Linked DNA regions of Anolis sagrei. The protein of the gene in region 4 purifies or fractionates together with the protein of the main gene of each other region. This does not show direct contact. Links are inferred from orthologs where the notes say so. Each region holds a gene or a part of one and is shown on either strand. Other genes may lie near its edges. The genes, in order: CHERP, SF3B3, SF3B6 and DHX15.

What was found.
Region 1: the proteins of DHX15 (region 4) and CHERP purify together in Homo sapiens (co-immunoprecipitation; 3 studies listed by BioGRID and IntAct, with this or other methods). This does not show direct contact. The link is inferred for Anolis sagrei from reciprocal best matches to the Homo sapiens genes DHX15 and CHERP.
Region 2: the proteins of DHX15 (region 4) and SF3B3 purify together in Homo sapiens (co-immunoprecipitation; 4 studies listed by BioGRID and IntAct, with this or other methods). This does not show direct contact. The link is inferred for Anolis sagrei from reciprocal best matches to the Homo sapiens genes DHX15 and SF3B3.
Region 3: the proteins of DHX15 (region 4) and SF3B6 fractionate together in Homo sapiens (co-fractionation; 3 studies listed by BioGRID and IntAct, with this or other methods). This does not show direct contact. The link is inferred for Anolis sagrei from reciprocal best matches to the Homo sapiens genes DHX15 and SF3B6.

Annotation. Positions count from the first base shown.
Region 1 is NC_090034.1:59,700,256-59,707,461, forward strand, and holds the start of CHERP (calcium homeostasis endoplasmic reticulum protein), read right to left. Parts: upstream 3,025-7,206; 5' UTR 2,799-3,024; coding exon 2,771-2,798; intron 1-2,770. UniProt on the Homo sapiens protein: Involved in calcium homeostasis, growth and proliferation.
Region 2 is NC_090028.1:506,762-514,086, reverse strand, and holds the start of SF3B3 (splicing factor 3B subunit 3), read right to left. Parts: upstream 3,010-7,325; 5' UTR 2,805-3,009; intron 155-2,804; 5' UTR 123-154; coding exon 53-122; intron 1-52. UniProt on the Homo sapiens protein: Component of the 17S U2 SnRNP complex of the spliceosome, a large ribonucleoprotein complex that removes introns from transcribed pre-mRNAs.
Region 3 is NC_090021.1:139,467,344-139,474,215, forward strand, and holds the start of SF3B6 (splicing factor 3B subunit 6), read right to left. Parts: upstream 3,023-6,872; 5' UTR 2,885-3,022; coding exon 2,855-2,884; intron 1-2,854. Other genes in the region: RNASEH2B (ribonuclease H2 subunit B), read left to right, coding at 4,632-4,710.
Region 4 is NC_090025.1:112,388,417-112,395,469, forward strand, and holds the start of DHX15 (ATP-dependent RNA helicase DHX15), read right to left. Parts: upstream 3,003-7,053; 5' UTR 2,893-3,002; coding exon 2,822-2,892; intron 1-2,821.

The DNA.
Region 1 (7,206 bases), on a different chromosome or scaffold from region 4:
AGAGAGATATAGAGTTATATACATACACACACACATATATAACATTCTTACTTATAATTCCATATTATTATTTACATTTATTAAATTCAGACTCAATAATAATAAAAATAATAATAAACTTTATTTATACCCGGCTCCTCTCACCGAAAGGACTTGGGGCAGCTTACAACATAAATAAATACAATGAATAGTATATGCAAAGTAAAAATAAACCAGATAATAACATGCCAAATCAATAATATATAGGATGGAAGGGACCCAATGGAAGGCTTTGCAGGAAAAATATAAATTATATTGAAAGGGGCTTCACATGAGTGTCACATTTACATAGCAGCTTACATATTAATCCAGTGTCACATTACACGATAAATCAGGCCTGGGATAACTTCGTCCCTTCCTACAGTTGTTTTGAACTCTCACAATTTTTATGATTATTTCTGTAAGTATGTTTGTCAATATTTCTGCAAATGTTTTAATAAACATTTATTTTCATTTCTGAGAATATTTTTGTGTATTTTAATGAATATTTTTAATGATTTCTGAAAGTATTTTGTGCATATTTTAATGGATATAATTTTTGTGAATATTTCTGCAAATATTTCAATGAATATTTTTAATGATTTCTGTAAAAATTGTGTGTATTTTAATGAATACTTTGTAATATTTCTGCAAATATTTTAATATATTCGGTTATTTCTGAAATTATTTTGTGAACATTTTAGATTATTTCTGCAAATATTTCTTAGTATTTTGTGAATATCCCCGAAAATATTTTAATGAATATGTTATAACTTTGTGAATACTTCTGCAAATATTTTAATGAATATTTTTGATAGTTTCTGTAAAAATTGTGTGTACTTTAATGAATATTTCTGCAAATATTTTAATGAATATTTTTGATTTCTGAAAATATTTTGAGCATATTTTAATGACTATATTACAATTTTTGTGAATATTTCTGCAAATATTTCAGTTAACATTTTTGATTTCTGTAAAAATTGTGGGTACGTTAATGAATATTTTGTGAATATTTCTGCAAATATTTTAATGAATATTTTTGATTTCTGAAAATATGTTGAGCATATTTTAATGACTATATTACAATTTTTGTGAATATTTCTGCAAATATTTCAATGAATATTTTTGATTTCTGTAAAAATTGTGTGTATTTTAATGAATACTTTGTAATATTTCTGAAAATATTTTAATATATTTGGTTATTTCTGACATTATTTTGTGAACATTTTAGATTATTTCTGAAAATACTTTTGAGCATTGTATTGTCGAAGGCTTTCATGGCCGGAATCACTGGGTTATTGTAGATTTTTTTGGGCTATATGGCCATGTTCTAGAGGCATTTTCTCCTGACGTTTCGCCTGCATCTATGGCAAGCATCCTCAGAGGTAGTGAGGTGTGTTAGAAGTAGAAAAATGGGTTTATATATCTGTGGAATGACCAGGGTGGGACAAAGGACTCTTGTCTGCTGGAGCTAGGTGTGAAACTTTTGAGCATTTTCGTGAATATGTTGTGAATTCCCCTGAAAATGTTTTTTTTAAAGAAATTTTATTAAATTTTATATAGAATACAACGAAAGAGTGAGAACAATAAGGTATAGAAAAGTAAAGAAAAAAAGAGAGAGGGAAAGGCCAATAAAGTAAGAAGTAAAAAGGTATCCTAAATAAAACCCTAAAAAAATAAATAAAAATAAACTACAAGAATACATCCACACACACACACAAATTAGAAATAAAAATGAAAGAAAAAAAGTGACTTCTATTCCTTTTTTAATAAAAATTTTTAAATTATTATTGTACAGTATAATACATAGAAACATACCATCTTTGAAAGTAACATTCAAAATACCATTTTTTTCCCCAATCCCGCCACCACCACAATCCCCCCCCCCCCCCGGGAACAAATAAATACTTTAGCTGTGTTTATTACAATTGTTCAATCATGATAATAGTTTTGTTCAACACCGTATATTTATCTTTCCCCTTTATTCTATATATGAGACCCTTCCATTTTGCTTTCCATGTCTTTTTGCTTTGACCTGTCATATAGTAACTTTTCCTTTCGCTAATATAATCTTGAAGAAGGTAATCTGCTAAATATTTGTACCAGGTTTTTGTATCCCATTTCTTGTGGTCTTTCCAGCCCAGGGCCACCGAGGCTCTAATTCCCTCTATCATATGTTTTATTATTTCCTCACTTTCCTTATATTCCTTTTTACTTTCAAATTTCTGAGTGAAAACTTGGGCCTTATTCCATTCTATCTTGATCCCTAATAGCTCCTCCATTTCTTTCCTGATTATTTCTTGGAACTTTTGGATTTTTTCACATTCCCACCACATGTGGGAAGTGACTTCCATTCCATCTGAATGGAAGTTCCCCTGAAAATGTTTCAATTAATATTTCTGAAAAACTTTTTTTGAGAATATTCCTGACTATTTTTTGGTTATTTCTGAAAATATTTCGAGTGTTGTAATGAATATTTTTATGAATATTCTTGCGAACATTTTAATTGAGATTTCTGCTTCTTTCTGCCAATATTTTGGTGAATACTTCTGCCAATTTTTAATTATTATTTTAAAAAAATTGGAATAACGGCTGAGAGTAAAAACCTGTTTCGAAAGATTGAAAATGGGATGGGATATTCATGAGGCCTTAGAGGCCTGTCCCCCGACCTCTCTCTTTCTCTCTCTCTCGGGAAGTCTCCCTTTGCCCGTCCCCTGAGCATGGGCAGAGTGCGAATGAGCCGGGGCCTTACCTTCAGGCGGGGGCGGCGGCATCTCCATGGTGGCGCTGGTCGGAAGAGACCACTCCGAGTGAGTGAGGTCCTCCTCAGAGGCGCGACTAGGCCGCACCAGCCGTCAAGGGAGCCCCTTTGGCGGGGCTGAGCACGACACTCCCCCGCGCGCCCGCACTTTGCGGCAGCAGCGCCGTCGCCTTAGGAACCGCGCCAACCTCCGCTCCTTCTGCCTCCGCGCGCGTGCGCAGTGAGCGCCAAAGGGAACCAAATCTCCGCCGGCCGCATTTGCTCCATCGCCAAGAAAGTGGGCGGGGCTGCCCCGTCTTGTTAAGCCACGCCCACTCCGGAAAGAGACTGGTGCAACTCCCACCATTCCTCACAGCCTCAGGTCCTTTCCTTTTCCATTTCCGCTTTGAGGGGGAAAAGGAAGGGGCCTAAGGCTGTAATGAATGGTGGGAGTTGGAGTCCAAAAGACCTGAAGGGAGGGAAGGAGGGCCCAAATTGGCCCAGGACTGCTGTAAATCATCGTCTCCTCCTGAGAATCATAGAAGAGACCTCATGGGCCATCCAGTCCAACCCCATTCTGCCAAGAAGCAGGAATATTTCATTCAAATCACCATCCAGCCTCCAAAGCTTCCAAAGAAGGAGCCTCCACCACACTCCGGTGCAGAGAGTTCCACTGCTGAACAGCTCTGGGTTGTAACAACGAGAATACTAGAATCCTAGAGTTGGAAGAGACCTGGTGGGCCATCCAGTCCAACCCCATTCTGCCAAGAAGCAGGAAAATCTTATTCAAAGCCCCCCCACAGCAGATGGCCATCCAACCTCTGTTTCAAAGCCTCCAAAGAAGGAGCCTCCACCACACTCCGGGGCAGAGAGTTCCACTGCTGAACGGCTCTCTCTCACAGTCAGGAAGTTCTTCCTCATGTTCAGGTGGAATCTCCTATCTGCAGTTTGAAACCATTGCCCCATTATGTCCTAGTCTCCAGGGCAGCAGAAAACAAGACTTCCCTCCTCCCTGTGACTTCCCCTCACCTCTGGATGCATGGCACATTCATGTCTCCTCTCAGCCTTCTTTTCTGAAGACCAAACATGCCCAGCTCTTTCAGTTGCTCCTCATAGGGCTTGTTCTCCAGACCCTTGATCCTTTGAGTCGCCCTCTTCCTCTGGACACATTCCAGCTAAGAGTCAATACCTCCCTTCAATTGCCTGGAATTGGACACAGTGTGATTTCAGGTAAAGTGGTTGGACCAAGGCAGAATAGAATAGAGCATGGGGAGCAGGACTTCCCTGGATCTAGGCACTAGGCTCCTATTTATGCAGGCCAAAATCCCATTGGCTTTTTTAGCTGCCGCATGACACTGCTGGCTCATGTTCCCCTTCCTCCCCAGCTCTCACAGTCAGGACTAGATGGCCTATCAGGTCTCTTCCAACCCTTTGATTCTATGAGTCTTTGCAGTCCGATCTTTAGACCACACCTGGAATATTGTGTCCAGTTCTAGGCACCACAATTGAAGGGAGATATTGACAAGCTGGAATGTGTCCAGAGGAGGGCGACTAAAATGATCAAGGGTCTGGAGAACAAGCCCTATGAGGAGCGGCTTAGGGAACTGGGCATGTTTAGCCTGAAGAAGAGAAGGCTGAGAGGAAATATGATAGCCATGTATAAATATGTGAGAGGAAGCCACAGGGAGGAGGGAGCAAGCTTGTTTTCTGCTTCCTTGGAGACTAGGACGCGGAACAATGGCTTCAAACTACAAGAGAGGAGATTCCATCTGAACATTAGGAAGAACTTCCTGACTGTGAGAGCCGTTCAGCAGTGGAACTCTCTGCCCCGGAGTGTGGTGGAGGCTCCTTCTTTGGAAGCTTTTAAACAGAGGCTGGGTGGCCATCTGTCAGGGATACTTTGAATGCAATATTCCTGCTTCTTGGCAGGGGTTGGACTGGATGGCCCATGAGGTCTCTTCCAACTCTATGATTCTATGAAGCCTGTAATGACAGGACCAAGGAATGGTTTTGGCCTTTGTAAGCCGTATCGAGTCCTTCGGGAGATTTTGAGAGGTATAAATAAAGTTAATAATAAAAATAAGGAATGGACATCTTCGGCTCATCCTCTGTTCGGATATCAGCCAGTGTGCTAATGTCTTAAATCAAGAAATAGTTTCCTAAGATCTACAGAGATACTCACAGGAACACCTCAGCAAGCGAGAGTCCAAAAGTGGCAGGCCAAAACCCGGAACCTCGATCAGTGTCTGAGACTGGATGAGGGACTCCCCCCGGTCACACAGAAGACTGGGTGACTTGGAAGATGCTGAACAGACTGCACTCTTGACACCACGTGCAGAGCCAATCTTAAGAAATGGGGTTGCAAAGTGGAGTCTTCAACATGCGAATGTGGAGAAGAGCAAACCACCGACCACTTTCTACAATGCAGCCTGAGCCCTGCCACATGCACAATAGAGGACCTCCTTACAGCAACACCAGAGGCACTCCAGTTGGCCAGCTTATGGTCAAAAGACATTTAGTGCAATGCCAAGTTTTTAACTTTGTGATTTTTATGCATTACTAGCTGTCCCCTCCCACGCGTTGCTGTGGCCGTCTGTTGATCTGGAAAATAAAATAATGAGAAAGTGTTGGTTTCTAATATTTATAATTTCTTTATGCCTGTGGGTAAACAGTATTTCTTGCTGTTTCTTTGTCAGTGTTGATGTGGAGAGTGTCTGGTTGCCCACTCTGGAACATTCAACGTATCATTGTCCTTTAAGGGTCCCTTTCAAATCTATGATACTATATATCTCTCTCTGTGTGAATCATATCTATCTATTTCTATGACTGGATGGCTCTTTGTCAGGAGGACTTTGTGTTTTCTTGCCCTGATGAAGGAAGTTGGATTGGATGGCCTTAAGTATTTTCTGATGGTCATGGAGGTTCTGTGTGGGAAGTTTGCCCCGATTCTGTCGTTCGTGGGGTTCAGAATGCTCTTTGATTGTAGGTGAACTATAAATCCCAGCAACTACAACTCCCAAATGACAAGGTCTATTTTCCCCAAACTCCACCAGTGTTTACATTTGTGCATATTGAGGATTTCTGCCAAGTTTGGTCCAGATCCATCATTGTTTGTGTCCACAGTGCTCTCTGGATGTAGGTGAACTACAACTCCCAAACTCAAGGTCAATGCCCACCAAACCCTTCCAGTGTGTTCTGTTGGTCATGGAAGTCCTGTATGCCATCTTTGGTTCAATTCCATCATTGGTGGCGTTCAGAATGCTATTTGATTGTAGGTGAACTATAAATCCCAGTAAGTACAAATCCCAAATGTCAAGGTCTATTTCCTCCAAACTCCATCTGTGTTCATATTTGGGCATATGGAGTATTCGTGCCAAGTTTGGTCCAGATCCATCATTGTTTGCGTCCACAGTGCTCTCTGGATGTGGGTGAACTACAATTCCCAAACTCAAGGTCAATGTCCACCAAACCCTTCCAGTATTTTCTACTGGTCATGGGAGCCCTGTGTGCTAAGTTTGGCCCAATTCCATCATTGGTGGAGTTCAGAATGCTCTTTGATTGTAGGTAAACTATAAATCCCAGCAACGACAATTCCCAAATTGTCATTTATCTTTTCGTCATTTAGCTTTTGTGGGCTTTTTAAGTCCCCTTTGCTGTGTTTTTCAGTGTTTTTATGAGTGGAGGACATACATTGGGTTGTTAGGTGTCTTGTGTCCAAATATGGTGTCAATTCCCCCAGTGGTTTCTGAGTTCTGATGGTAGCACGAACTAACATTACATTTTTATTTATATAGATTATATAGGTCAGTATTGTGATTTTTTTACATCATTATTATTCTTATTTCACAGACAAAAAAACAACAAAAACTTGTATAGCCACAAGCATTATGAAATTATATATATCAGAAACCAGCTCTTTCTTTTCCATTTAACCAGACTGAGCCACAGCAACACGTGGCAGGGTACAGCTAGTAGTAGTAGTAGTAGTAATAATAATAATAATAATAATAACAGTCCCAGCTCCTCTTGTTTCTCTCTCCGCCCGGAACAAACATAGTGTGCAGACTCCATCCCCACTTTGCAGAATTCATCTTTATTTACATCTTCCCATATTTCAAAACGTATAATTACAACATGTGTGGGCTTTTCGCCTCCCGGTTAGAAGCTTACAAGCTTTCCACACACACACACACACGCAAAGAATCCTAATTCCTGTACACTGAAACTCAAAACTTTTCTAAGTCCTACATTTGCATCCCATTAAGTCCCTTTTTGAAAAAGCAAGCCGACTTCCAGTTGCTTCTGTAGCCTGTGATCCCAGACTCTTGGGAAGCTCCAGCTCTTTGAAGGAGAGCAAGAACCAAGTCCTTGTAAGATATAAGGAGGTGATTTTAAAATATGTTGCTCTGTCGAAGTTGAGAAAAAGCAAATCGTCATCGTCACTGGCG
Region 2 (7,325 bases), on a different chromosome or scaffold from region 4:
GTGGCTCCTGCATTAGCTGCACATACATGCTACCAGTTAGAATGGCACTCACCTGAAAAATTGCCATGGATGGCATAGCTGATGCCTGTGGCTCGCTGCAAGGTCAGGTTGTAAAGGAACATGGTGCCGGTTCGAGGTCTTCACCTCCGTCCTCCTGCCAGCAACAGAGTCAAGCCATTAGAGACAAACGCATAGAATGGAATCGATCCACACATTGAAATGAATGCTCACCGATTCAGAAAAGGGGATCGAGATCATAGGCAAGAATGCATCATACAAGCATTTCCAAAATCAAAACACCACTTTGCAAATCCCTCAATATTTGGTTTGAGGAAGAAAGCATCTTGTCAACATGAAAACACCACACTCTGAATATATTGATCTCCTTGATATGCTAAGAAGGAATCAATTTTCTTTCTCCCTTCTCCAGCTCTGACAAGGAAGGTCCTCCTTACAATGCCTTATTATTGCCACCTGGTAGACGGCACAGGGTGACAAAGACAAGGACAGGCAGGCTGAAGGATAGCTTTCACCCTAGAGCTGTGGCTATGCTAAACTCCACAGCACTTCGTTGATGTGCAAGGGAAAGGCATTTAATCCTGTTGCACGATACACATCAGGCATGGGCCAACACCAGGCCCATTATTAATGTACAACGACAACAAAGCTATTCTAGTCTATGTATTTGTGCATATATACAGTGTTGCTTGAGTGTCACTGGAACCGCTGCCAGCCTGCATTGATGTGGCATTGGAGGCTGTGCGGTGGAGGTGGGCGTGTGTTGTCTTTGCGGTGTGTGGGGGGAAAGCATTTAATCTAGTTGCACAATGCACATCAGGCATGGACCAACACCAGGCCCATTCCTGATGCATGGTGGCAATAAAGCTATTCTATACTAGTCTATTCTCTTATTATTGCTATCTGGCAGATGGTGCAGTGCGACAAGGACAAGGACAGGCTGAAGGATAGCTTTTACTTTGGAACTGTGGCTATGCTGAACTCCATGGCTTCACATCGATGTGCCATAACAATTAGAATGTGGAGGGGTAGGTGTGTTGTTTTGCGGTATGTGCTGGGTCAACACCAGGACCATGCCTGAAGCACAATGGCAATAAAGCTGTTCTATACTATTCTCCTCTTATTATTGCTATCTGGCAGATGGCGCAGGGTGACAGAGAAAAGGACAGACAGACTGAAGGATCGCTTTGACTGACTAGAGCTGTGGCTATGCTAAACTCTGTGGCATTTCACCAATGAGGCCTTGGAGTGTGCAGTGTGTGCAAGGGGGGGGGGATTTAATCTCGCTGTACAATGCATATCAGACCCATTCCTGATGCACAATGATAATAAAAGTATTTATTCTATATATTTGTGTGTATACCCAGTATTGCTTGAGTGTTATTGAGACTGTGGCCTGCCTACCTTCTCCCTTCTCCAGCTCTGAGAAGGAAGAAATGCCTTCTTATTGCCACCTGGCAGACAGTGCAGGGTGACAAAGAAAAGGACAGACAGGCTGAAGGATAGCTTTTACTCTTAAGTTGTGGCTATGCTGAACTCCATAGCATTTCATTGATGTGGCCTGAGGGGATGTGCAAGGGAAAGGCATTTAATCTCGTTGCACAATGCGCATCAGGCGTGGACCAACACCAGGCCCATTCCAGATGCACAATAACAATAAAGCGGTTCTATTCTATTATATTCTTCTCTTATTTCTTTCTGGCAGATAGCACAGGGTGACAAAGACAAGGACAGGCAGGCTGAAGGATCGCTTTCACCCTGGAGCTGTGGCTATGATGAACTCCATGGCTTCACATTGATGTGGTTTTGGGGGTTGTGCAGTGTGTGCAAGGGGAAAGCATTTAATCTCATTGTACAATGCACATCAGGCATGGGCCAACACTATTATATTCTATGTATTTGTGTGTATACCCAGTATTGCTTGAGTGTCATTGGGACCGTGGCCTACCTACTTTCTCCCTTCTCCAGCTCTGAGAAGGAAGGCCCTCCTTACAATGCCTTATTATTGCCATCTGGCAGACGGTGCAGGGTGACAAAGACAAGGACAGGCAGGCTGAAGGCTCACTTTTACTCTAGAGTTATGGCTATGCTGAACTTCATGGCTTCACATTGATGTGCCTCCTTTCCCCCTTCTCCAGCTCTGAGAAAGAAGACCTTCCTACACTCACTCTGAGGCCTTTCCCTTTGATATGCGAAGAATCCCTGAGGCCTTTCCTTCAGGGTAGCCAGGCATGAAAGCTATTATATTCCATGCTCACACTCACTCTGAGGCCTTTCCCTTTGCTATGCGAAGTCTCTCTGCGGAGGCCTTTCCCTCACGGCGGCCAGGCGTGAAAGCTATTCTATTCTATGCTCACACTCACTCTGAGGCCTTTCCCTCAGGGCGGCCAGACGCACTTTCTCCCTTCTCCAGCACTGAGAGAAAAGCCCTTCCTAACACTCACTCTGAGGCCTTTCCCTCAGAGGGGGCCTTCCTTTCCTTATTATTTGTGCACATCTCCCGTGTGGTAGGGGCTTTCTCCCTTCTCCAGCTCTGAGAAAGAAGACCTTCCTACACTCACTCTGAGGCCTTTCCCTTTGATATGCGAGGAATCCCTGAGGTCTTTCCCTCACGGCGGCCAGGCGTGAAAGCTATTGTATTCTATGCTAACACTCACTCTGAGGCCTTTCCCTCAGAGGAGGCCTTCCTATCCCTCTGGGCGGCCAGGCTTGAGGCTCCGGCCTAGGCCCCGGCCCTCCTCCTCCTCCTCCTCCTCGGCCTCTCCGGCTCCTCCGCCCGGGCCTACCTCCAATCCCGGCCCAAGGGAGACCCCGGCTCCCGTTGTGAGTCTCCCCGGCGTGGCTGGGGCCCCGGCACGGCGAGGATGGCGAAGGATTTTCCCGGCCGCGGCCTGCTTCACCTCAGCGGCGCCATGGCGGCCTCTCTTCCCGCGCGCGCAGGCCAAAAGGGGTCCTTCCTTCTTTCCTCTCTCTCTGCCCGGGGCTGCCTTCGGCGCGCCTGAGCGAATTCCCGGAGCGACTTCCGCCCGGCCAACCGGAAGTGATGCTTTTGAGTAGGGGTCCTTCCTTCCTTGCGCTCTTCTGCGGGGCTGCCCTCGGCGCGCCTGAGACAATTTTCGACCGGCAAACCGGAAGTGATGATGGTGAGGGGCGCGGGGCCAAGATGGCGGCGCTGGGGAAGGAAGGCCGCGCGGTTGGCGGACCCGGAGTTCCTCCTGCCGCCTCTGCCTCGCTCTCCATGGAGGAAATACGCGCCCTCCCCGGCCTCACGGAGCTCGAGGCCGCCTACAGCCGCCTCTGCGCGGAAGAGGTGGGAAAGGAGGCAGGAAGGGTCCCCAGAGGGCATCCAGCCCAACCCGGAAATGAAGGAATATGGGGGAGGGTCATGGAATCACAATAATAGAGTTGGAAGGGACCCCCAAAGGCCACCTAGTCCAACCCCTTTCTGCCATGCAGGAAAAGCACCATCAAAGCACCCCTGACAGATGGCCATGCAGCCATAATAATAATAGAGTGGGAAGGGACCCCCAAAGGCCAACTAGTCCAACCATTTTCTGACATTCAGGAAAAGCACCATCAAAGCCCTCCCAACAGATAGCCCATCCAGGCTCAGAAATAATAATAATAATAATAATAGAATCCTAGTTGGAATGGACCCCAAAGGCCATCCAGTCCAACCTCATGATGCCATGCAACCATAATAATAATAATAATAATAATAATAATAGAGTTGGAAGAGACCACATGGGCCATCCAGTCCAACTCCATGATGCCATGCAGGAAAAGCACCATCAAAGCCCCCCTGATAGATGGCCGTCAAGCCTCAATAATATTCATGATGGTAATGATGATGATGATGATAAAGTTCAAAGGGACCTCAAAGGCCAACTAGCCTCAGTAATAATAATAATAGTAGTAGTAGTAGTAGAATCCTAGAGTTGGAAGGGACCCCAAGGGCCATCCAGTCCAACCCCTGCCATGCAGGAAAAGCACTATCAAAGCACCCCTGACAGATGGCCATTCAGCCATAATAATAATAATAGAGTTGGAAGGGATCCCCAAAGGCCAACTAGTCCAACCCCTTTCTGACATGCAGGAAATGCACCATCAAAGCCCCCCTGACATGATGACCATCCAGCCTCAGTAATAATGATAATAATAATAGAATCCTAGAGTTGGAAGAGACCCCAAGGGCCATCCAGTCCAAACCCATTATGCCATGCAGGAAAAGCACCATCAAAGCCTCCCTGATAGATGGCCGTCCAGCCTCAATAATATTCATGATGATGATAGAGTTCAAAGGGACCCCAAAGGCCATCTAGCCTCAGTAATAATAATAATAATAATAATAATAATAATAATAATAATAGAATCCTAGAGTTGGAAGGGACTCCAAGGGCCATCCAGTCCAAACCCATTATACCATGCAGGAAAAGCACAATCAAAGCACCCCTGACAGGTGGCCATTCAGCAATAATAATAATAATAATAGAGTTGGAAGGGACCCCAAGGGCCATCCAGTCCAACTCCATGATGCCATGCAGGAAAAGCACAATTGAAGCACCCCTGGCAGGTGGCCATGCAGGCATAATAATAATAATAATAATAATAATAATAATAATAATAATATAATAATAATAATAATACCACCCTCAATAATATTCAATAATAATATAGGGTTGGAAGGGATCGCATGGGCCATTCAGTCCAACCCTTGCCATGCAGGAAAAGCGCCATCAAAGCCCTCCCAACAGATGGCCACCCAGCCTCAGTAATAATAATAGAATCCTAGAGTTGGAAGGGACCCCAAGGGCCATCTAGTCCAAACCCATTATGCCATGCAGGAAAAGCACAATCAAAGCACTCCTGACAGATGGCCATGCAGCCATTATTATTATTATTATTATTATTATTATTATTTTGGTTACAGTGAACACCTAAAAAGCCATTCCCTTGGTATGTTTTCAGATCACAGTCGAGGAAGAGCTGGAGATGCTTCTGGAACAGCAGGGCACAATCGAGGGCAAGATGGCTTCCCTCCATCGCATGGGGTGAGTGAGATATTTTGCACATAGTTTGCAAGGGTGTTTAGGGGTGCAAGGCTCTAACATTGCCAAGGACGGAGAGAGTGGACGCCGTGAGAGCCAGAGTGGCTTCTTTCCCTCCTCTCTGTTTCCAGCCCCAACCTGCAGCTGATCGAAGGCGATGCCAAGCAGTTGGCCGGGATGATCACCTTCACCTGCAACCTGGCAGAGAACGTCAGCAGCAAAGTCCGGCAGCTGGATCTGGCCAAGGTAACCCTGTCAGGCAGGAATCGCCCCGTCATCTCCTCCGTACCCACTTGGCTGCAGGAGGCCAACTGCAGGGATGGCTCATTATTTTATTTATTTATTTATTTGCTATACTTGTATACCGCCGTTTCTCAGCCTAGCCGGCGACTCAACGCGGTTTACAACAACTTATAACAAACAACAGTATACAGTTTAAAAAGCATAAAAACATAATCCACAATACATATATCAATAAACAATCCAATACATCTCTTGACTAAAAACGTGATCCAGTTTCGTCGTCCAAATTGCCAGTCCTTCAATCATTACATTTATTGCACTGGGTTAACCGAACGCCTGCTCGAACATCCAGGTTTTTAGTCTTTTCCGGAATACCATCAATGAGGGGGCTGATCTTACCTCCATGGGGAGGGCGTTCCAGAGCCGCGGGGCCACCACAGAAAAGGCCCTGTCTCTCGTCCCCGCCAGCCGCACCTGTGAAGCAGGCGGGATAGAGAGCAGGGCCTCCCCAGAAGATCTTAGGGTCCTGGTGGGCTGATAGGCCGAGATACGTTTGGATAGATAAGTTGGGCCAGAACCGTTTAGGGCTTTAAAGGTCAACGCCAGCACTTTGAATTGAGCCCGGTAGCAGATCGGCAGCCAGTGGAGTTGGTGCAGCAGAGGAGTTGTATGCTCTCTGCGCTCCGCTCCTGTTAAAATCATGGCTGCCGAGCGTTGGACTAATTGGAGCTTCCAGGCCGTCTTCAAAGGCAACCCCACGTAGAGAGTGTTGCAGTAGTCTAAACGGGATGTAACCAGAGCGTGGACTACCGTGGCCAAGTCAGACTTCCCAAGGTACGGGCACAGCTGGCGCACGAGTTTTTTATCTTCTTCTTCTTGCAGAACCGCCTCTACCAGGCCATCCAGAGAGCGGATGACATCTTGGACCTGAAGTTCTGCATGGACGGAGTTCAGACGGCCCTGCGGGGCGAAGATTACGAGCAAGCCGCCGCTCACATCCATCGCTACCTTTCGCTGGACAAGTCGGTCATTGAGCTCAGCCGGCAGGGACGAGAAGGTATCGGATGCCATTTCTGTATGAGTCGCAAACATCCTAGGACCCTTCCACACAGCCATCGAACCCAGAATATCAAGGCAGGAAATCCCACAGTTATCTGAGTCCACACTGCCACATATTCCAATTCAAAGCAGATAACGTGGGATTTTTTTCAGCTAGGAGGAAGGGGCCCTCGCTAAGAACAACGGGGCTGAGAGAACAGGAAGTAGGAGGGAAGGAAGGGAGGGAAATCCACAGTATCAAGGGGGAAAGTGGGTTTCCAATGAAGCTCTAGCCCCAAACCTTGTTTCCACAACAGGCAGATTTCCAAAATCCAATTCTTACAAGAGTAGAAAGTGAGGTGAAATCTTCCAAACAAGGGCACAGACAGCAAAGGAAACACCACAGGGGTGTTTGCCCTTCCCTAGGCCATCCAAGATTATACACACACACACACACACGTGTGTGTGTGTATGTATGCATGACTATATGTATGTGTCTGTGTGTGTATATATAATTCTATATCTATATAAATAAAAATGTAATGTTTGTTTGTGGGATTAACACAACTCAAAAACCACTGGGCGAATTGACACCAAATTTGGACACAACACACCTAACAACCCAATGTATGTCCTTCACTCAAAAATTATGATTTTGTCATTTGGGAGTTGTAGTTGCTGGGATTTATAGTTCAGCTACAATCAAAGAGCATTCCGAACCCCACCAACGAAAGAATTGAACCAAACTTGGCACACAGAACTCCCATGACCAACAGAAAATACTAGAAGGGTTTGGGTGGGCAATGACCTTGAGTTTGGGAGTTGTAGTTCACCTACATCCAGAGAGCACTGTGGACTCAAACAATGATGGATCCGGACCAAACTTGGTAGGAATACTCAATATGTCCAAATATGAGCACAGATGGAGTTTGGGGGAAATAGATCTTGACATTTGGGAGTTGTAGTTGCTGGGATTTA
Region 3 (6,872 bases), on a different chromosome or scaffold from region 4:
CAATCTTTGGGGAGAGCGTTCCAGAGCCAGGGGATATGACTGCGTAAGGCCCTTTCTCTTGTCCCCACCAGCCAGCAGACCTCAGGGCCCAAGTAAGTCCATAGAGCAGTGGTTCTCAACCTGGGGTCCCCAGATGTTTTTGGCCTTCAACTCCCAGAAATCCTAACAGCTAGTAAACTGGCTGGGATTTCTGGGAGTTGTAGGCCAAAACATCTGGGGAGCCACAGGTTGAGAACCACTGCCATAGAGGGAGACGTGATCGTGCAAATAGACTGGACCCAAACCGTAAAAGGCTTTATAGGTAACAATCTGCCTGGAAACACACAGGGAGCCAGTGGAGCTGCATTAACAGAGGGATTGAGCATTATACTCAACCTGTAGGATGTAAAGCAAGCTGGCCAGTACACATAATCAAATTATGCAAGATATGTATGTTTACAAATATACGCATACATATACAAATACACACACACACACACACACATATAGATTCTCACACACATACTACTTCATCACGTTAGAGCAGGGGTCCTCAAACTAAGGCCAGGGGGCTGGATGCAGCCCTCCAAGGTCATTTACCTGGCCCTCGCACAGGGTCAACCTAAGTCTGAAACAACTTGAAAGCACACAACAACAACCCTATCTCATCAGCCAAAAAGCAGGTCCACACTTCCCATTGAAATACTAATAACTTTATATTCACCGGGATTGTGGCGCAGCTGGCTGAGTGTCAGCTGCATTAAGATCACTCTGACCGAAAGGTCATGAGTTCGAAGCCAGCCCGGGTTGGAGTGGGTTTCCAACCAATTGTGTAGCCCGTTGTCGACCTTTGCAACCCGAAAGACAGTTGCATCTGTCAAGTAGGAAAATAAGGTACCACCTTAAAGTGTGGGGAGGCTAAATTAACTAATTTATGAGGCCATAAAGACTTCAGCAAAAGCATGTGGGGAATGCGGAAGTACTTCATCAGTGTTGCAGATGGACGATGAAAGCGACAGCTCCCCTGGCGGCCAGAAAAAAGTTAAATAGCCTCTGTCTGTCTGTATATGTTGTATGTCAAAATTGGCATTGAATGTTTTCCATACTCCTGGTCAGTCGAAAGGTACTCCTGGTCAGTCGAAAGGCGGAACAGGGTACAGGGTTACAGCCTGTGTTGGATGGGGTCGCACTCCCCCTGAAGACGCAGGTTCGCAGCTTGGGTGTGATCCTGGACTCATCGCTGAGCCTGGAACCCCAGGTCTTGGCGGTGACCAGGGGAGCATTTGCACAGCTTAGGCTCGTGCGCCAGCTGCGCCCGTACCTTGAGAAGTCTGACTTGGCCACAGTAGTCCACGCTCTTGTTACATCCCGCCTAGACTACTGCAACGCTCTCTACGTGGGGTTGCCTTTGAAGACGGCTCGGAAGCTCCAGCTAGTCCAACGCTCGGCAGCCATGATACTAACAGGAGCGGAGCGCAGGGAGCACAAAACTCCTCTGCTGCACCAGCTCCACTGGCTGCCGATCTGCTACCGGGCTCAATTCAAATTGCTGGCGTTGGCCTTTAAAGCCCTAAACGGTTCGGGCCCAAGCTACCTATCTGAACGTATCTCTGCCTATGAACCCACCAGGACTCTAAGATCTTCTGGGGAGGCCCTGCTCTCGATCCCACCTGCATCACAAGCAGGGCCTTCTCTGTGGTGGCCCCTCAGCTGTGGAGCGCCCTTCCCATGGACATAAGATCAGCTCCGACGTTAATGGTGTTTCGAAAAAAGCTAAAAACATGGCTGTTTGAACAGGCATTCAGATAAACAGTGCAATGAATATGATGAATATAGGAATGGAATTATAGACAACGAATTGGATCACGATTCTAGTTAGGGGACGTTGTTGTGTTGTTATTGATGTGCCATTACTGTATATTGTGCTTTCATGGTTTTTAAATCGTTTATTGCTATTTTGTTATGACTGTTTTTGCTATGTTGTGAACCGCGTTGAGTCGCCTTCGGGCTGAGAAACTGCGGTATACAAGCAAAGTAAATAAATAAATAAATAAATAAATATATGTGTACACTGTAACCCGCCTTAGTCCCCTGCGGGGTGAGAAGGGCAGAATATAAAAGCTGTAAATAAACAAATAAATGAATAAATATTTGTTGAAATTGTTCTTCATTTTAATTATTGTATTGTTTAAAGTGTTTTTTGCACTACAAATAAGATATGTGCAGTGTGCATGGGAATTCATTCGGGTTTTTTTTCCTTCAAATTATAATCCGGCCCTCCAACTGTTTGAAAGACTGTGACCTGGCCCTCTGTTTAAAAGGTTTGAGGACCCCTGCACTAGAGAATGAATCCACTTTAAATCTAGTTCCTGCCTGCTGCAGAATTCTGGGGTTTGTAGTTTAGTGAGGCTGTTAACGGCTCTACCTTAAACTACAAATCCCAGAATTCTGCAGGAGGCAGCAACCGGATTTTAAGTGGATTCATTCTCCAGAACAGTGGTTCTCAACCTGTGGGTCGCCAGATGTTTTGGCCTACAACTCCCAGAAACCCAAGCCGGTTTACCAGCTGAGAGTCGAAGGCCAAAGCATCTGGGGACCCACAGGTTGAGGACTACTGCTCATAGGTCCATAGATATAACTACATCTATCTATATACACACACAGTGATCTCTGTGAAAAGCCTCCTTGTTTTCTGAAGCCTTTGGGAATTTTAGTTTCACACACAGAGTTATATATAAAAGCCCAAAGCTTCGGAAGACAAGGAGCTTTTCTTTATCGGGATGCCAACCCATTCCCGCCTGGTTTGCTGGGCCAGAACACCCCCGTCCCACGAAACGGCTTCTGGGGCGAGGAACAAGGGTCCCTTCAGACTCACATTGGCGCGCTTGGCCGCTTGCATCGCCATGGCGAAGGTTAATAGGGTCTCCGGCTTCTTGGGAGAAAAATAAGGAAACTTCGCAGCGAGTCCGCGGCGGATGAAGAGCTCCAAGGCCTCGCTTCGCCTTCCTCTTTGCCTTAGCCGGGAAAAGAGACACGTCACTTCCGGTCCTGGCCAAGGCTAAGTAACATCGCGTGGCTTTGATTCCCGGGCGTGTTTGGGCTCTCCGCCCCCTAGAGGCGAGGAGGAGCGCACGCAATATAAGGAGATCCTTGCATCCCACAAAAAAGGTTTTCACCTTTCACCAGCTAATAGCAGCTCAGGAGATTATTTGAAGGCCAAGTAAAGACAGTTAAATGTGTTGTCAAAGGCTTTCATGCTCGGAATCACTGGGTTGTTGTGAGTTCTCCAGGCAGTATGGACATGTTCCAGAAGCATTCTCTCCTGATGTTTTGCCTGTCTAAGATCACTAAAGATCACCAAAGACTACAGTCTTCAGAAAGAACTTGAAGACCGGGCTGTTCCGATGTGCCTTCCCAGAATAGGAAAACTCCATCAATAAGTCCCAGAAGCACTTTATTAGAATTAAGATTGCTGGCACACTGCACTTACCCTATAATCCTTACGTATCACCGGTCACATCAGCACTTTTAATTCTGTACCCATTACTCTGGCCCGGCCCAGTTTTATTGTGTGCTGGTGTATTGTTTATTGCTTGTTGTTTAATATTGCTTTAACTGTTTTTAATTTGGTTTAGGTTGTGTATTGTTATGTTGTGTTTTGAGGCCTTGGCCTTTGTAAGCCACATCGAGTCCTTCAGGAGATGCTAGCGGGGTACAAATAAAGATAATAATAATAATAATAATAATAATAATAATAATAGGCAACCCCAGAGGTTGTGATCTCTTTTGGAAACTAGGCAAGTGGGGTTTGTATATCTGTGGAATGTCCAGGGTGGGAGAAAGAACTCTTGTCTGCTAGAGGCAGGCGTGAATGTAGCAATTGGCCACCTTGATTAGCCCTAATAGCCTTGCAGCTTCAAAACCTGGCTGCTTTCTGCCTGGGGGAATCCTTTGTTGGGAGGTGATTAGTTGGCCCTGATTGTTTCCTTTCTGGAATTCCCCTGGTTTTGAGTGTTGTTCTTTATTTACTGTCCTGATTTTAGAGTTTTTATATACTGGTAGCCAGATTTTGTTCATTTCCTCCTGGAATTTGTAGTTTGGCAAGGCACCAGCACACTTTTGGTCCAGAGGAGGCGAAAGACCTGGTAAAACTACAGCTCCCATTAAAATGAATGAATGAGATTTTATTTCTACCCTGCCCTATCTCCCCCGGGCCCTTCCACACAGTCACATAACCCAGAATATCAAGGCAGAAAACCCCACAATATCTGCTTTGAACTGGGATATATAATGCCATATATCCCAGTTCAAAGCAGATAATGTGGGGTTTTATTCAACTGTGTGGAAGGGATCTCAGTGAGGACTCTGGGTGGCTTACAATATATCGAACGGCAAATGTTCAACGCCGTATAAAAATACAAAATAACACAAATCAAGAGATAAAACCTAATTCTACAGTGTAGGAGATGCACCCCAAGTCAATAGTCTCACCCACAATCTGCTTCTAAAACTGCACTGCGCATGCGTCCTGGCTCGAAACAATCCGATGTCGAAGGGGAGCACGGACGTGTTGGTCGGTCTAGAGTGGGAAAGAGTGGGAGGGCAGGCTCTCCTCTTCCTCGCTTTGAGGAAGCAGCAGCAGCAGCAGCAACATGCCGAAGCAGCGCCCCTCGCCCAAGAAGCTCCCCACGAAGAAGGGCGACTGCAGCCAGTGGGTGATGGTGGTCCCAGGTAAAGCAGCCCGCCTCTCCTCTTCGTCCTTTTTGCCTTCCAAAAAGGGCGGGAAAAGACTCCAGAGGGAATGCACTTTGACACAACTTGGGCTCCCATGGCTCAAGGCTATGGAGTAGCCAGTTTTGCTGAGGCCCCTTCCACACAGCTCAATAAAACCCCACATTATCTGCTTTTAACTGGGTTATATGGCAGTGAGGACTCAGATAACCCAGTTCAAAGCAGATACTGTGCAGTTTCTCAAGTCGCTCCTGACACGACAAAAAAAAAAGTCCAAAGGAAACTCAGGGTGGTTTACAAACGGCCCAATTTGATGCCTACAATAACAAAGAACAATTAAAACATTTAGCATAAATAACATTTGATACAATAAAATAAAACTGATAAAAGTATTATGCCACAGCGTTTCATTACTAAAATCATTACCCAGTCGCATTGTTCAGTTGTTCCGAAGATCTGAGTTTGTCTGCTACACTGCATTTGGGAAAGCTTGCGCAAAATGCCAGGTTTTGACTTTTTTTTTTTGAAATGTTAGGAGGGTGGGGGCCAATCTGATATCCCTAGGGAGGGCGTTCCATAGCCAAGGGGCCACCACTGAGAAGGCCCTGTCCCTCGTTCCTGCCAACCAAGTCTGTGAAGAAGGCAGGACCGAAAGCAGGGCCTCCCCAGAAGATCTTAGGGTCCTAGATGGTCCATAAGGAGAGATACATTCAGACAGGTAAGCTGGGCCAAAACCGTTTAGGGCTGTAGCCACCAAAACAAAGTTTCTGGAGTCGAGCAACTGCTTTCAAAGTAACTGCTGCACAATTAAATAGGAAATAACACTTTCAAACCAGGGACAGATTTTTTTTTCAAATTTTGTTACATAGTGTCATCTTTTTTGGTTGTGTAAGCTTTCAAGTTGATTTATGGCAACCGCTTAAATAGGTTTTCTTAGGCAAGTAATACCCAGATGTGGTCTTGCTAGTTTCGTCCTCCAAAATATTTACTGCCCATTTAATGCAGCTAGATTTCCCTATGAGCAGATTTTTCTTTCCCCTCTTGTATCTTCATAGTAAACATCTCCCAAAAAGCAGAAGTTGTCTCTGATTTAGGCCCCTTCCACACAGCTGAATAAAATCGCACATTATCTGCTTTGAACTGGGATATATGGCAGCATAAACTCAGATAACACAGTTTAAAGCGATTTTCTCCCTTGATATTCTGAAATAGAGGGCTGTGTGGTAGGGTCCCTTTCTTTCCAGATCTCAATTACAGATTTGTTTATTGAATTCATATCCTGTATTTTTTGCCTCCACAAATGTCACTCGGGAGGGTAATAAAACAAGGAAGTGCACAACTAGATGGAATCACAAATAAAGTGAATTAATGGATCGTTTTCAAAGGAGTAGATAAATGAGTGGCAGCCAGCTATTTCACAGGGAAAGTCTACACTGCCATGCAATCCAGATGATCAAAGCAGATAATCCACATTATCTGCTTTGAGCCGGATTATTTGAGTCTACACTGCCATATAATCTAGTTCAGAGCAGATAACCTGCATTTTATATGACAGTCCAGATGATCAAATCAGATAATCCATTATCTGCTTTGAGCAGGATTATACGAATCTACACTGCCATATAATCTAGTTCAGAGCAGATACCTGGATTTTATATGACAATCCAGATAATCAAACCAGATAATCCACATTATCTGTTCTGAGCAGGATTATATGAGTCTACACTGCCATATAATCCAGTTCAGAGCAGATAACTTGTATTTTATATTGCAGTTCAGAAGTTATGTGCCATTTTTGATTGTCAGATTTCAGAGCAGCAACTCCTTTGTGACAAAAGACAATGGCAGTCTGAGACATTCTGTATCTGAAGTAGCAGATTAGTAACTAAGAAATGAGGAAGGAGCAGGGAAATTATTTGTCAGAACTAGTCCTGGCAACAAAAGTATTTCTTTCGTTGAGTATTCTAGAAAGACTTTTCTTTGTGAAGGCAGAAATGAAACTAAAAGTCGCTTCTTGAACTCTTTGGTGTCTCAACATTTATGGAATTAATCATAAAATCAAAGCAACTTGTATTAAGTAGTGGACTTCTTGGATCTCCTAAGAGCATTTCTATTTTCCCATGGGTCACTAGGCAAGCCTAGTCTTTGTTGTTAAAATGCAT
Region 4 (7,053 bases):
GTCGTAAGGAAGAGGGAGCAAGGAATGAAAGTAGACTATCATTGATTTTACCTTGTGGCGATGCTGATAACAGATAATTCTAAATTATGGAGATTTATATTTTATATGTATTTTAATCTACGCAATTTTGTCTTATATTATGTGTTTTATATTATATGTTTTGATATTTTGTGAATGTTAAAAATAAAGGTGATGGTGATGATTATTATTATTTTTTGCTGCCCTAGAGAATAGGACGCAGAACAATGGCTTCAAATTACAGGAAAGGAGATTCCACCTGAACATTAGGAAGAACTTCCTGACTGTGAGCGCTGTTCAGCAGTGGAACTCTCTGCCTCTGAATGTGGTGGAGGCTCCTTCTTAGGAGACCTTTAAGCAGAGGCTGGATGGCCATCTGTTGGGGTGCTTTGAATGTGATTTTCCTGCTTCTTGGCAGGGGGTTGGACTGGATAGCCCATGAGGTCTCTTCCAGCTCTATGATTGTCAGATTTTATGTAACATTGATAAATGGTTTTAAAGGGTCTGCAGAAGGTTTTGCTTGCAGGAATCAGCTTTCTGAGACTCTCAGAAAGGTGTCATGGCTTGCTAAGGGGATAGAGAAGTGTGTGCCAACTCAAAGTTTCATGTAATAGTATATGGCACATTTGTCATTGGATATATGAAGCACAGACAGCATGTGTATCTGGTTCAAATGAAGCTGATTTTTCCCATGTATGAAACACAGGCCCCATCTCCAATGCTATATAATGCAGTTTGAAACTTTATTATACGGTCAATGTAAAATCATATAATGAAGTTCAATGCAGATAAACTGCATTGCAGGCCTGTGCAGATGGCCCCCAATACTTTCTATCTGATTCCTTAGCTTTCCACTTACAAATGGTCAACATGAAGCAGGAGTGAAAGATCCAGCCTATTTGTGGGACCGCATTTCCCCTATGAACCAACTCGGGCCTGAAAGTCCTGGGGGGGGGGGGGTGGCTTCTCTACACTTGATCTTAGCCAAAAGGCCGAGAAGCGATGGTCCCAACACCCTCACAAGCATGGCTGATGGGAATGAGAAAGGACCTTCTTGGTGGTGGCCCCCCAGGTTTGGAATGCTCACCCGAAAGTAATCAGACAACTAACTTTAGGAAAGAGCGAAAAACTTGAATGCGGAAGCTGGCTTTTGAAAATGGTTGGTTGCTTTTCATTCTGATGGTGGTTTTTTAGCTTTTTAGCCTATTGACTCCATGTTTTGAAACCAAGTACCATTTTTAATCTGTTATTTATTTATTGTGATACTTTAAAAAAATTCTTTTATGATTATTGGTTATATATAAGGTCTTGCAAAGATACAGAATGGGGGACGCCTGGCTTGAGAGCAGTATGGGTGAAAAAGCTATTGGAGTTCTCGTGGACAACAAGTTAAACATGAGCCAACAATGTGACGTGGCGGCAAAAAAAGCCAATGGGATTTTGACCTGCATCAATAGGAGCGTAGTGTCTAGATCTAGGGAAGGAATGCTACCCCTCTATTCCGCCTTGGTTTGACCACACTTGGAATATTGTGTCCAATTCTGGGCACCACAATTGAAGAGCGATATTGACAAGCGGGAATGTGTCCAGAGGAGGGCAACTAAAATGATCAAGGGTCTGGAGAGCAAGCCCTATGAGGAGCAACTTAAGGAGCTCAGCATGTTTAGCCAGAAGAAGAGAAGGCTGAGCGGAGATATGATACCCATGTATAAATATGTGACAGGAAGTCACAGGGAGGAGGGAGCAAACTTGTTTTCTGCTTTCCTGGAGACTAGGACGCAGAACAATGGCTTCAAACTACAAGAAAGGAGATTCCTTCTGAACATGAGGAAGAACTTCCTGACTGTGAGAGCTGTTCAGCAGAGGAACTCTCTGCCCCGGAGTGTGGTGGAGGCTCCTTCTTTGGAAGCTTTTAAACAGAGGCTAGATGGCCATCTGTCAGGGGTGCTTTGAATGCAATATTCCTGCTTTTTGGCAGGGGGTTGGACTGGATAGCCCATGAGGTCTCTTCCAGCTCTTTGATTGTCAGATTTTATGTAAAATTGATAAATGGTTTTAAAGGTGTCATGGCTTGCTAAGGGGATAGAGAAGTGTATGCCAACTCAAAGTTTCATGTAATAGTATATGGCGCATTTTGGCGCTTTTTGGCAGGGGGTTGGACTGGATGGCCCATGAGGTCTCTTCAAACTCTATGCTTGTTGTCTTTTTGGTTTCTACTTATGTATGTATTGTGACTTGATTCTGTTGTGAGCTGCCGCAAGTCCTTGAGGACGGGGGGGGGGGGTATAAATAAAGGTTATTATTATTATTATAAAGGTAGTCGCTTTTTCAGCAGCCCATTTGACGACACTTGATCCTTAGGCCCCATTTGACCATTCAATGCAGTTTCAACAACCCTGGTATGGAAGAAAATGGGTTTCGTTGACCAAATGATTACAAAGTTTGAGACCTGGGTAGTGATTAAGGGCTTCCTTTCGCGTGGTTTTGTGGGAGTTTCGTTGTCTGGCCGCCGCAGTTCAGTGTAGATCAGGCCTCAGCCTGGCTACAACAAAGAGGCCGCGAAGCCTGGCTCCAGGCCTCTCAATGCCTCGTTCTCTAAAAGGGAGGCTAAAAATAACGCGTAAGGGAGGGCCAATGGCGCTGAGCGTTCTCCAAAACCAGATGAGCAACATTCGCCTCCCACCACCCTCTCCCCTCAGTGGATTCACAAAACAACGAAGGCCAAAGAGAGAGGAGGAGGAGGGAGGGAGAGAAGCGGCGCCTCCCCTCCCGTTCTCTTCCCTCGCCCCGGCTCGGGTCTTACCCGTCGGAGGCGAGCCGCTTCTTGTTGGAGCCGTAGTCGTCCCCGAGGTCGAGGCGGTGCCGCTTGGACATGGCGGGAGCTGAGAGCCGAGGAGGCCGCCGCCGAGCCAGAGAGCGAGGAGCTAAAATGGCGGCAGGAAGGAAGCAAGCAAGCCAGCGCCGGCCGCGAGGCGAGCCTTTCCCAGCGTAGAAAGGGAATGCGGTGCAGCGCGTAAGACGTCCGGCCGGAAATTCTGTTCCCTAGCATTTCCGTTCCGCTCTGCAGAATAGTTCCTCCTCCGGTTTATTTTATTTTTTTATATCCCGCTTTGTCTCTCCATACGGAGACTCAAAGCGGCTCACAATCAAAAACATTACAACTTAAAATATGCAAGAATAAGACATTATGTCTTATTGTAAATTGTCAGTGGTAATTATATTTAATATATCAGCATTACTATATCACAATATTTTTTATATATTGTTAGATTGTATTATGGAGCTGTCTTCATAGACTTGTCAGCGGCCTATGATACTGTGAACCACCGCCTCCTCCTGAGAAAAATGTATAACCACCTCACCTGCCTCATAGGAAACCTGCTACAAAACAGGAGCTTTTTGGTTGAGTTCCAGGGCCAGAGAAGCAGATGGCGGAAACAGAAGAACGGCTGCCTCAGGGGAGCGTGCTTGCTCCATCCATGTTCAACATCTACACCAATGACCAGCCACTGCCAGAAGGGACAGAGAGTTTAATCTATGCTGATGATCGTGCCATTACTGCTCAAGCAGGGAGCTTCGAGATGGTTGAACAGAAGCTCTCCGAAGCTCTAGGTGCTCTTACTGCCTATTACAGGGAAAACCAACTGATCCCTAATCCATCTAAAACACAGACATGCGCCTTTCACCTTAAGAACGGACAAGCATCCCGAGCTCTGAGGATCACCTTGGAAGGAATCCCACTGGAGCATTGCAACACACCCAAATACCTGGGAGTCACTTTGGACCGTGCTCTGACCTACAAGAAGCACTGCCTGAACATCAAACAAAAGGTGGGCGCTAGAAACAACATCATATGAAAGCTGACTGGCACAACCTGGGGATCACAACCAGACACAGTGAAGACATCTGCCCTTGCGCTATGCTACTCTGTTGCTGAGTATGCATGCCCAGTGTGGAACACATCTCACCACACTAAAACAGTAGATGTGGCTCTTAATGAAACATGCCGCATTATCACGGGGTGTCTGCGCCCCACACCACTGGAGAAATTACACTGCTTAGCCGGTATTGCACCACCTGACATCCGCCGGGAAGTAGCAGCCAATAGTGAAAGGACCAAGGCAGAGACATCTCCTGCTCATCCCCTGTTTGGGTATCAGCCAGCACGTCAACGACTTAAATCAAGACATAGTTTTCTTAGATCTACAGAGACACTCGCTGGAACACCCCAGCAAGCGAGAGTCCAAAAGTGGCAGGCCCAAACCCAGCACCTCAATTCATGGGTGATACCAGATGAGAGACTCCCCCCTGGGCACTCAGAAGACTGGGCGACTTGGAAGGCGCTGAACAGACTGCGCTCTGGCACCACGAGATGCAGAGCCAACCTTGAGAAATGGGGCTACAAAGTGGAATCAATCAATCAATCAATGATTTATTACGGTCTTTGACCAGCACAGTACAGAATGGGGCATCGGTGCCCAAGGGAGGGAATCGCAGTTCCCAAGTAGATCAAGTATAAAAGCAGATTAAAAGCAGATTAAAAACATGTTATAAAAGAGACAAATTAAAAAGATAAAACAGACTAAACTTACAGTTTAAAGTGCATGTATGAATCTAAAATAGGGGGCGGCTAATAGCAAATATGGGAAGCTATAAAAGGGATGAGAGGGGAGCATTTACAGCATTTCAGTTATTACAAACCATTCTATCTATATTCCCGGCAGGAAGTTGCCTGGTGGAGTCGGTCATCAGCCATCTAATGTTAATTGCTGCTGCACAGAACTTGGCAACACTCTAGGTTGTTGCAGAGCAAGAGTCCGAGAGCAGCAGGGAGGTGTAATATCTTTCAGTGCGCCCTGGATGTTTTAAAAGCCATGGAGTGATGAAATTAGCTCTAATGTCTCTATAGAACACACATTGGAGGAGCACATGTTCAGTTGTTTCGATGTAGCCAGACTCACACGGGCATAGTCTCTCCTGAGCAGGGGTCTTCCGGTACCTCCCCTCCAGTACTGCCGATGGAAGGGCGTGGCATCTTGCCAAAGTGAAAGCTCTTCGGTGTTTAGGCACCTCCAGGTTAGCTAAGTAAGGCATGGGAGCGATGAGATATCTGCTATCTTCGCTAATGGTGAATGCTGGAGAGCAGGCTAAGTCTGATTGTCGCTCTGTATCCAGGATCCGTTGTCTAATAAGATCCTTGGCTTGGTCCCATCCCATACCTAGCAGTTGTCCTTGAGAGAAGCCTAGAGTTGCGATTTTGGTTGCCACTGCCTTATTCCATGTAGACTGAAATTCATCTCTCAGAGTTAATGGGGCAAGGCCACATGTTGAGAAAGACAGATGCAGCCAATAATTGAGGGTGGCTGTCCACACTCTCGCCTCCACTCTCACAAGGCCTGTCTCTAATCGCAGGGTGGCGTTTGAGACACATCTGGGGACCTGCATCGCCGATCTTAGAAATTTTGATTGTACTTGCTCCAGAGGGGCATAGTTTGTGAAGGGACCAAGTTGGGCTCCATACATCATTTGTGCTATGGATTTTGCCTCAAAGAGCTTAAGTGCAGCTGGTATGTAGTGGCCTCCTCCTGTTTTGAGGAACTTTAGGATAGCATATGAGCTCTTTTGTGCTGCCTCTGCTACGTAATCCATATGTACTTTCTTGTTTCCTGTGCGGTGATAGAATACTCCCAGGTATTTAAAGCTGGAGACCTGTTCAATATTGTGTCCATCTAGTCTCCAGGTATGATGCTTGGGTCATTTCGCAAACACCATAATTTTGGGTTTTTTTATAATTAAGATGAAGCTGTTCTTCATTACAATATTTTGTTAAGGCTCTCAGGGCTCTTCTCAGGCCTACTTGAGTTCTGGATAGTATCACTGCATCATCTGCATAAAGCAGGGTAGACACGTGTCTTCCTGCCAGTTTTGGAGGGTGGTAGTCCAAGTTGTAAAGGTGCTCCACCATGGAGTTGATGTAAAAGTTAAATAGAAGTGGAGCCAAAGTACATCCCAAAGTACAAAGTGGAATCCTCGACATGCGAGTGTGGAGAGGAGCATACCACTGACCACCTGCTGCAATGCAACCTGAGCCCTGCTACATGCACAATGGAGGACCTTCTTGCAGCAACACCGGAAGCACTCCAAGTGGCTAGATACTGGTCAAAGGACATTTAACCAACTACCAAACTCACAAGTTTTGTATTTGTCTGTTTGTTTGCTTTGTTCTGTTAGAAATGTAATATAATGGATTGTTTGCTGTGACACAACAAATAAATATTAGTATTATATTGTATCACATTATATATTGTCAATATTGTATGTATATACAATATATATTATTAGCATAGCACAATGTTAGTATTATATATTACTATATTGCACTATACCACAATACTGCAATATTATTACTAATATTACATGTAATATATAATATACAATTATTATTTAGTTAGGTAAATATTTTTTCCCCTGACATTAAGTCCAGTTGTGTCTGACTCTGGGGGTTGGTGCTCATCTCCTTTTCTGAGCCGAAGAGCCGGTGTTGTCTGTAGACGCCTCCAAGGTCATGAGGCCAGCATGACTACATGGAGTGCCATTACCTTCCTGCTGAAACTACTAGGTTGGCAGAAGCTGGGGCTAACAGCAGGAGCTCACCCTGCTTCCCAGATTCAAACCCCTGACCTTTTGGTCAGCAAGTTCAGCAGCTTAGCGTTTTAACCCACTACACCATCAGGACATTATTATATATTATTATATGATAGTATATTATTTTACCAATATATATATAATGCATTACCAGTATAATATACTATTTTATTATATAATGTATTGCACTATATCATAAGATATAGTATACATAATACTGTATATAATATTGCAACATTATTAATATTATATATAATATAATAGTATTATTACATCACAATGCTGTTATTCTATATATTATTATATTATATATATTGAGAGGCTTCCAAGTGATGCTGTGGGAGACTTGGTTTCAATTGGTTCCAACAGCAATCTATCTATCTATACACA